Schizosaccharomyces pombe: one gene and its partner. The main gene of each other region encodes a partner of the protein of the gene in region 2 in a complex. Each region holds a gene or a part of one and is shown on either strand. Other genes may lie near its edges. A codon is read from its position in the direction of its gene.

Region 1 (3,532 bases), 440 kb from region 2:
ATATTTCGTAACGCTGATACAATCTCCCAACTCCAAACATAATTCGCTTATGTATACCTATTTAATAACCTAGAGCTTAATTGAAAATATACGAATGCATTACCACCTTTTCTAACTAGTCAATTTTTCGAGTATCGTTTTTTAAGCAAAAGAGAGCCAAAGGCTAACATTAACTCAACTCCGTTCTGTGTATCAATTCTCCTTTTCAAATTTCGAAAATAGTCATCTGCGTACAGGGACATCAACGAAACATTCCAACAGTATTTCAAAATTTTTACTTATTTATTTCATAAATATGTACCCTCGCTATTATTAAAACATTTAAATATCTCTGAATAATACAGGTGTTGATGAAACCTGTAGTTTATATGATACACATCTTCATTATTCGTACATAAAATTTGCAGTCGAAAATGAACCAAGAAAGTAACATTATATGATTAAACAAATCGTCTTATATAGTAGTATGTGTTTTTTATCGAATACAGTGTAAATATTCATTGTTATTTGCTGTTTTTTCTTAAAACTCATAAATAGCGTTTTGTTCGTCAATTATTAATTTCTATCACCAAAGTCTTTTAAATGAACCAAATTCCCTATGTTGAATGGAAAAAGTTACTTGTTATCAGCTTTCTGTTTGTTTCCGTTAATGCGCTGTTCAAATTTTTCAAACTCGGCAATTGCAACCTCCTCTTCTGGATCTAAAACTTGTACAACATTTTCCACTTCCGGAATGTAATGCTTCAGCATTTGCTGAATTCCATTTTTTAGTGTCACAGCTGATGACGAACAGGTTCGACATGCACCTCGAAGTTTAAGAGAAACGGTACCTGTCTTCTCATCAAACCCTCTAAATTCCACATCACCACCGTCTTCTTGGATAGATGGACGAATGCTAGTCTCGATCAGTTCTTTAATCATTGCAACAATTTGACTGTCGCTTTCTAATATTTGAGTATCGCTAGCCCCCTTTAGAGGCTCTTCAGAGAGTACTGGGCTTCCATTACTTAAATGCTCCATAATTACACTAAACACTTCTGGCTTCATTTGAGCCCATTCAGTTCCTGCTCCCTTGGAAACAGTAATAAAGTCCTTTCCAAAAAAAATGCTATCAACTCCATCTATATCAAATAGTTTCTGTGCCAATGGAGAATTCACAGTTCCTTGTCCTCTCATGAATTCACAGCTTCCGATAGTTGGAGGCAAGATATCTAGCCCTGGCAGGAACTTCAAAGCGTTTTCGTTCGGTGTCTCCTCCGATCGGATCCATATGCTGCGAATTGCTTGCAATTGGAAACGTGGAGTGAAAACGTTACCAGCTGAAGATACTGGTAAAAAGGTTTTCTTTTGGAATGCTGTCCTTAAAGATTGAAACGGCACAACTCTAGGAAATAACATGCTTGGAATCAAATCGTGCTTTATCCAATAAGAGACAAAATATTAAGACAAGTTCAGAATTTGAAACTTCTTAAGTATACACTTCAAACAGATGGGAAAATTTAAATGTTTATTAACAATTTTTAAATCAGGAAATGCTAATGTAAGCAATTCTTTAAATACATGCAAGAAGGCAATTTGTACATGGGCATACGAAAACCGATGTGATCCTTATACTTTCTTATACAAATTAGCGAAGTTCATTATATTGAAATAAGCCATTGTTCGTGATTCAACAATTTACTTGTCTTTCATCACTAATCTAAATTCTCTCTTACAAGAACAATAGACATTGTTTTCAATTGAACAAATCGGTAGGCTCCTGCCTTCCTCAACAACTTAATTTCTACTAGGTGTTCAAAAACAGATACCTTCCTAGTAAATTTCACACATCATTGCTTCATTAAGAAAGAACTGTTTAAATCGTATGGAAAAGGTAAGCCAACGGTACCATTGTTCATTCACAAAATACTGATGAATTACTGCAGTCTCAACTTGAGTCACGCGTCCATTTGCTTGAACAGCAGAAGGAGCAATTGGAAAGTAGTTTACAAGACGCTTTAGCTAAGCTAAAGTAAGTGTGGTAAAGTGATGCTAGAAATGGTAGAAAATATGAGTTATGCGCCTTTACGCGCGTTCAGGTTCATTTTGGGAAAAGCAATGTATTGCCGTTCCATCAAATCTATTCAAGTCATCATCAAGCTTGTCTCGTTTTATCTAATGTTGACAAATGATTTAGAAATCGAGATGCTAAGCAAACTGTACAAAAACATATCGATCTACTCCATACCTATAATGAAATACGGGATATTGCTTTGGGAATGATTGGCAAAGTGGCAGAGCATGAAAAATGTACAAGTGTCGAATTGTTTGACAGATTTGGAGTTAATGGGTCAGAATAATTATTATCCATTCAGTTATTTAGGAAAAAAGAGAAGTTAAACAAAACAAATAAAAATGTAACGGAAAAAGTGACAGAGACAATCCAAGTTTTCTTTATTAAGCATTACTTTGCTTTCGCTAGAGATCCAACGCCAATTCTTATATATTTATTATGAAAGTTTACGTAAACGATCACAATTGTTAGAACATCTCAAGACTTTAGCTAGTTGATTAGTATTAAGGCTCGTCAGTATGTCCGACGTCTTTTTCAGATGACAATAGCAACTTATGAATGTTATTTGCAGTTTCAGTATTGGCTGTCGATTCTAGTTTTGACAAGTGATGTGACCAAAAATCCTTTTGCTGGTCGATGGGATTAGATAATCGTTCGTAACCTTTTTCTAAGTAGGTAATTCTTTCATCCACCTCTCGTGAGTGTACAGTGGGAGAGGCTTCAACTACTCTTTTAACGGCATGCTGCAGATTACCAAGTTGATCAAGAAGGAAATCGGTAGTTTCTGGTAAAGTAACTTGCCAATTTTCGGGTACTTTGTTGAGAAAAGAAATTCTTTCCAAATGCTTTTCTATTTCTGTTTTTTTTTCTCTTTTCCTGCTGAGACGCATGCGAAGGTCACGACGTAGTTGCATCTTTACTACGAGTTTTTCTGCAGCCTCTTGAATTGCTTGATCCATGGCGGCGTCTTGCTCTGTTGTGATTGAATAGTCTACATCCTTTCCAAACGTACGCATGTAGCCTTTTAGCTCTGGTGGATAACTAAAAATGTTTCGAAGTGTATACACCTCGAAACCATCATAGTAACGATCCACCACACTTTCAAAGAGAACCTCGAACTTGTGTAGTCCTTCTTCTATTTCCTGTGGCGCTTTTTTAGCAAACCGCGTTTGTGAAAAGGCTTTATCCACACCATTTACACCTTTATATAACAGTTGGTTCGTAATGTTGATCACATCATCAATGAAGGAGAGAGGAGTGAATTCTAGTAACTCCACTAACATTTTTTAATTAATTCCTTTACATTGAAAACACTGATTAGCTTCCAAAGAGGAAACTAGTGAGTTATGATTTTTAAACGGCAAGTTGTTCTGCAATGTACCAACCCCATGTTGCATTTTGTCTGGTGTACTCAGATATGATAATAACGAGGTAAAAGGGATTTCCGTATATCCCATCAAAAAGTATGAATAATACATA
Region 2 (3,924 bases):
TGCAATATTTTATTATAAATATTTTTGACATACTAAGCCCGGCAGGTCCGGACTCACAACTTCCCCCAGAACCACCAACACTACAAGTAGATCGTACACCACAACAACCTGACCCTCAAGAAACGTCTGAGTCCTTGCCCTCGCCTAATACTGAAGAGATGGGTGAATCCTATAATGATATTCGTTTCACTTATGATTACATTGATGGAAGGTTTTTGGAGACTGCGTGTGTCACGCTTATTGTGGTAGTTGTCGGACTGGTTTTAATGAGACGCCATCAACAGCATCGACTTCAAGAACGACGTGAGCGAATCATCCGTAGACAAAACCGCGCTTAATAAAAATTGTATCTTCGATTTTTTTGCGTTCTAATTTAAAATTTTGTTGCTCGATGGATGCAGAATAAAAAATATATGTATGTTAGGGTTCGTCGGTGATTAAATCATGCTTTGAATAAATTTTGTTTTTCATCTTTCAATTGGTTGATCTATATTTGTTGTCTGTCAGCCAATTAATCGACTTTTGTTGTTTGAATGTTAAATATCTCCAGAAAAAATTTAGAACCAGAAGGTTCAAAATCAAGAAATTTCAAATTAATGAGACATGTTATTGTATAATGCTAATAATTATATAAATTAAAGTCATAAACTCAGCCTGGAACGATTCATTGTTACATGTAAAGAATTTCGATACCAGCTCGGCGCAATTTGTATGTAAACGATTAAGGTACCTCTGTACGTTCAATTAGTATACCCTTGATTTTGGTGTAAGCTAGCTAAACATATTTAAGTTCGTACTAAAGGTTTTCTAACTAGTACGAACGAAAATTTTTTTAACAATAGTAAGGAGTCCTTTACGATTTCCAATCACCATTTTCTTCATCAAAAGACATCAAATGAACAGGAACACCAAACTGATTTAGAAACATACTCATTGTAAATTCAGTTCGTACTTCCTGAATTTGCCCTTTATTTTCACCTTCTTCAATACGAAAGGACTGAGTAACACCTCCAGCCAAACGAATACGTTCAGCCATTGGTTTAAAAAGTACTTCAGCGGCTTGCTGAGCAGCATTTTTCCATTTCTGTATCAACGTTTGCAAGTCTTTATCTTCATTTTTGGCTTCAACCTTTCGTGCAGTTTCGGCGGTTATGAGCTGCTCTTGTAAATTTCTGACTTCTTTTTCAAGTTTTAAACGACGAGAAAGCAACTGTGTGATTTCAGGGTCGGACTTTGGATTAAGGCAATTAGAGATAGGTGACTTGAAAAGTCGTTTTTGCCGTTTTATTGAATTAGGCGTTGTTCTTAAGGGAGAAGTAACAGGTTCTGAAGAAGTGTTTGTTTCATCAGAGTTAAGATTTGTTACAGCTAACGATGGTTTTAGATTAGTGTCTGCAACTTGAGGACTGGCAGTTTGTCTTAAGGGGCTTTTGAACGGCTTAAGAAGTATATTTTTGGCTTCTCGAGCCCTTTTCTTTGAAAAAGGTGTAGTAATTGGTAAAGAAGTATGTATTTTTGTATCTCGCAGGTCCGGCGTCAAAGCCTTCTCATTCTCTGGATGTACTGTTTCTGACTGCTCGATAAAACCTAGGTTATCTGAGTGATTGCCACTGTTATTGCATTTAGGAGGGTTTTCTATTCCTAACTGACCCTGTGAGTCACGTAAATCACTTTCGCTTAGGGAAACTTTCAAATCTTCTTTACACTGTGAAGTAGCATTTTCATTGAGTTCAGAGTTAATTGTTTGCGACATTTTCAGTTAAATCGTTTTAAAGTACTAATTCGAAGATGAAAGAGTGAATGTTAAATTATAACAAAGATGCAATGAAGCGCGTAACTTTTGTCAACAAACGCGTTGAGTGTAATAGTTGAATGTTTAAACTCTAACTTCAAATAATTAAATGAATTGAATATTAATTGTTATAGAAATGAAGAAATACCACAAATTCCAGATAAACGTTGAAAACGTTTTACTAGCAGAAGGTGAAAATAACAGCAAGCAACAAGAACTTAGGTAGAAGAAGACTGAAGCACATGACTGGTGGTTCCAAAAAATTAAATGTTTATACAAATTACGATAGTAATAAACTAAAAGGTTTATTAATTTACAAATTTGTTTTTTAACCTTTTTTAAACCGCGTAGGCTTTGTTAGAAGGTAATCTGGGAATACCACCTAACTCTACTGACAATACTAGGAGAAAAGATTTTGGTACCTACAGAAGGTAATATTTAAGATAAATAGATATCTTAAAAATTCACTTGCAATTCTCGATGAGTAAAAAAGAACATTGAAGGAAAGGACATTAAAATTGCTGGAGGATTTTGTTTAAAGTATCAAATTCATGCCGTCTTCGTATAAAATTTAGAGAACCGGTTTAAATATTATTTCATTAACCAAGTTGACGAAGAAATTACTTAAATTTTGAAAACTTGCTACAATCGTCATTGAGAGATTCAAGAGTTCGTATTTTTTTTTTACAATTGCAGAACAATGTCTATTGACTTTGATTGGTCAAAGTTAGACTCAGAATTAGAAGCAAAAGTTTTACATCTTCTCGAAGGACAAGTTTCGAATTTGTCGCTACCATCTTATATAAAGCATTTAAAGGTTGTTGACTTCCATTTCGGCAAAGTCTCACCTCAGATTACTATTCAAGAAATCGGCGATCCTGATCCCCAATTTTATGAAAATGAAGCTTTCGAATTAGCTAACCAAGAACTAGAGGGTGATCAATGCTCCCGCAATAATGTTTCACCAGTGCTTACGGATCTTCCACCTTACGCTGCTGAACATCCATTTTCAAGACTAGCATATTTTAATCCCGCATTTAATTCACCCGGGATTCTATCTGCAAGTGGACTCACAAGCCCAATTCCTGAAAGTCGCCCAAGTACTCCAATGGATAATCATCAAGAAAGAGATCGTTCTAACGATTTCCAAGTTACTGCACACGTATCTTATGACGGAGACGCAAATCTAAGCCTGGAAGCGGTTCTATCGATGAATTACCCGAACTCTGAATTTGCAGTTCTTCCATTCAAACTTTCATTTATTAGGATTTCCATCGATGCCATTGCTGTTTTGGCTAAAATGGGAAAGCGGACGCATCTATGCTTCGTTGATACATTGCTGCACGGAACTGGAGAGCATGCATCAAGTGTTATTCGAGATTTAACAGTGGAAAGTATTATTGGAGAATCTAATAAACAGCTGCTAAAAAATGTTGCTAAAGTCGAGAAATTTGTATCGGAAAAAGTTAAACGTATTATTGAGGATGAACTTGTCTGGCCTAGCTATATAACCATTGAATAATTCTTTACAATTATCCTAAATATATAAAAAATTTCCTTTAATCTCCTACTTAAAGGTTTAGGGATTTAGAAAATATTTTTGTCTATACATTGAGCTCTCTCATCTACCTCAACTTACGTTAATGAAACCATTTTCTCCTTCTCAAACCAATTTTGAAAAGGAACAACTTTGCTTTGGTGTATATCAACTTAAGGATTGCTACCAGCAAGTAATTGAGGCACTCTCGCTTGGTATTCGCGTAATTGATTCAGCAATTACATATCGAAATGAAAAAGAATGTGAACAAGCCATTCAAGATTTCTGCCATCAAAATGTGAATATTAAACGTGAAGATATCACCTTAATAACTAAGATTCCTGACTCCTTACAAGGATTTGAACGTACCTGGAAAGCGGTCGAACAGTCTCTTCGCAGAACAGGTCGTCCAAAGTTAGACGTCGTGCTAATACATTCACCAAAGTGGCCCGTACGCCGTATTGAGTCTTGGCGAGCACTATTGCAGCATCAAAAAGAAGGAAGGATAAACAAAATTGGAGTTTCCAACTATAATATTCATCATTTGGAAGAAATTATCAGTCTTGGGTTGCCCCTTCCAGCTATTAATCAGGTC

Evidence for each region.
Region 1: the proteins of sfr1 (region 2) and swi5 are in contact, whole or in part, in a crystal structure (PDB 3VIQ), measured with the Schizosaccharomyces pombe proteins. Residues at the interface, in NP_595668.1 of Schizosaccharomyces pombe: Leu182 (codon at 1,210), Leu183 (codon at 1,207), Arg185 (codon at 1,201), Arg186 (codon at 1,198), Leu189 (codon at 1,189), Glu190 (codon at 1,186), Glu192 (codon at 1,180), Val193 (codon at 1,177), Leu196 (codon at 1,168), Gln197 (codon at 1,165), Gln199 (codon at 1,159), Leu200 (codon at 1,156), Thr202 (codon at 1,150), Ala203 (codon at 1,147), Thr205 (codon at 1,141), Ala206 (codon at 1,138), Arg207 (codon at 1,135), Val209 (codon at 1,129), Glu210 (codon at 1,126), Glu214 (codon at 1,114), Asp215 (codon at 1,111), Leu218 (codon at 1,102), Gln219 (codon at 1,099), Leu221 (codon at 1,093), Ile222 (codon at 1,090), Lys224 (codon at 1,084), Trp225 (codon at 1,081), Lys226 (codon at 1,078), Ala228 (codon at 1,072), Ala229 (codon at 1,069); in NP_595453.1 of Schizosaccharomyces pombe: Met1 (codon at 1,865), Lys3 (codon at 1,871), Leu6 (codon at 1,932), Glu7 (codon at 1,935), Val10 (codon at 1,944), Leu13 (codon at 1,953), Glu14 (codon at 1,956), Gln16 (codon at 1,962), Lys17 (codon at 1,965), Leu20 (codon at 1,974), Glu21 (codon at 1,977), Ser23 (codon at 1,983), Leu24 (codon at 1,986), Ala27 (codon at 1,995), Leu28 (codon at 1,998), Lys30 (codon at 2,004), Leu31 (codon at 2,007), Lys32 (codon at 2,010), Asn33 (codon at 2,178), Ala36 (codon at 2,187), Lys37 (codon at 2,190), Thr39 (codon at 2,196), Val40 (codon at 2,199), Lys42 (codon at 2,205), His43 (codon at 2,208), Leu46 (codon at 2,217), Leu47 (codon at 2,220), Thr49 (codon at 2,226), Tyr50 (codon at 2,229), Glu52 (codon at 2,235).

Annotation. Positions count from the first base shown.
Region 1 is NC_003423.3:1,136,192-1,139,723, forward strand, and holds swi5 (protein Swi5), read left to right. Parts: upstream 1-1,715; 5' UTR 1,716-1,864; coding exon 1,865-1,873; exon of another isoform or gene 1,874-1,925; coding exon 1,926-2,011; exon of another isoform or gene 2,012-2,176; coding exon 2,177-2,339; 3' UTR 2,340-2,556; downstream 2,557-3,532. Other genes in the region: NifU-like protein nfu1, read right to left, coding at 616-1,398; MIS12/MIND complex Mis12, read right to left, coding at 2,557-3,336. UniProt on the Schizosaccharomyces pombe protein: Required for normal mating-type switching. Also involved in the rhp51-dependent recombination DNA repair pathway.
Region 2 is NC_003423.3:1,578,517-1,582,440, reverse strand, and holds sfr1 (DNA recombination mediator Sfr1), read right to left. Parts: upstream 1,986-3,924; 5' UTR 1,754-1,985; coding exon 854-1,753; 3' UTR 561-853; downstream 1-560. Other genes in the region: hrd3 (HRD ubiquitin ligase complex subunit), read left to right, coding at 1-338; ERMES complex subunit, membrane tether and lipid transfer protein Mdm12, read left to right, coding at 2,493-3,314; SPOM_SPBC28F2.05C (xylose and arabinose reductase), read left to right, coding at 3,436-3,924. UniProt on the Schizosaccharomyces pombe protein: Involved in DNA recombination repair and meiotic chromosome segregation.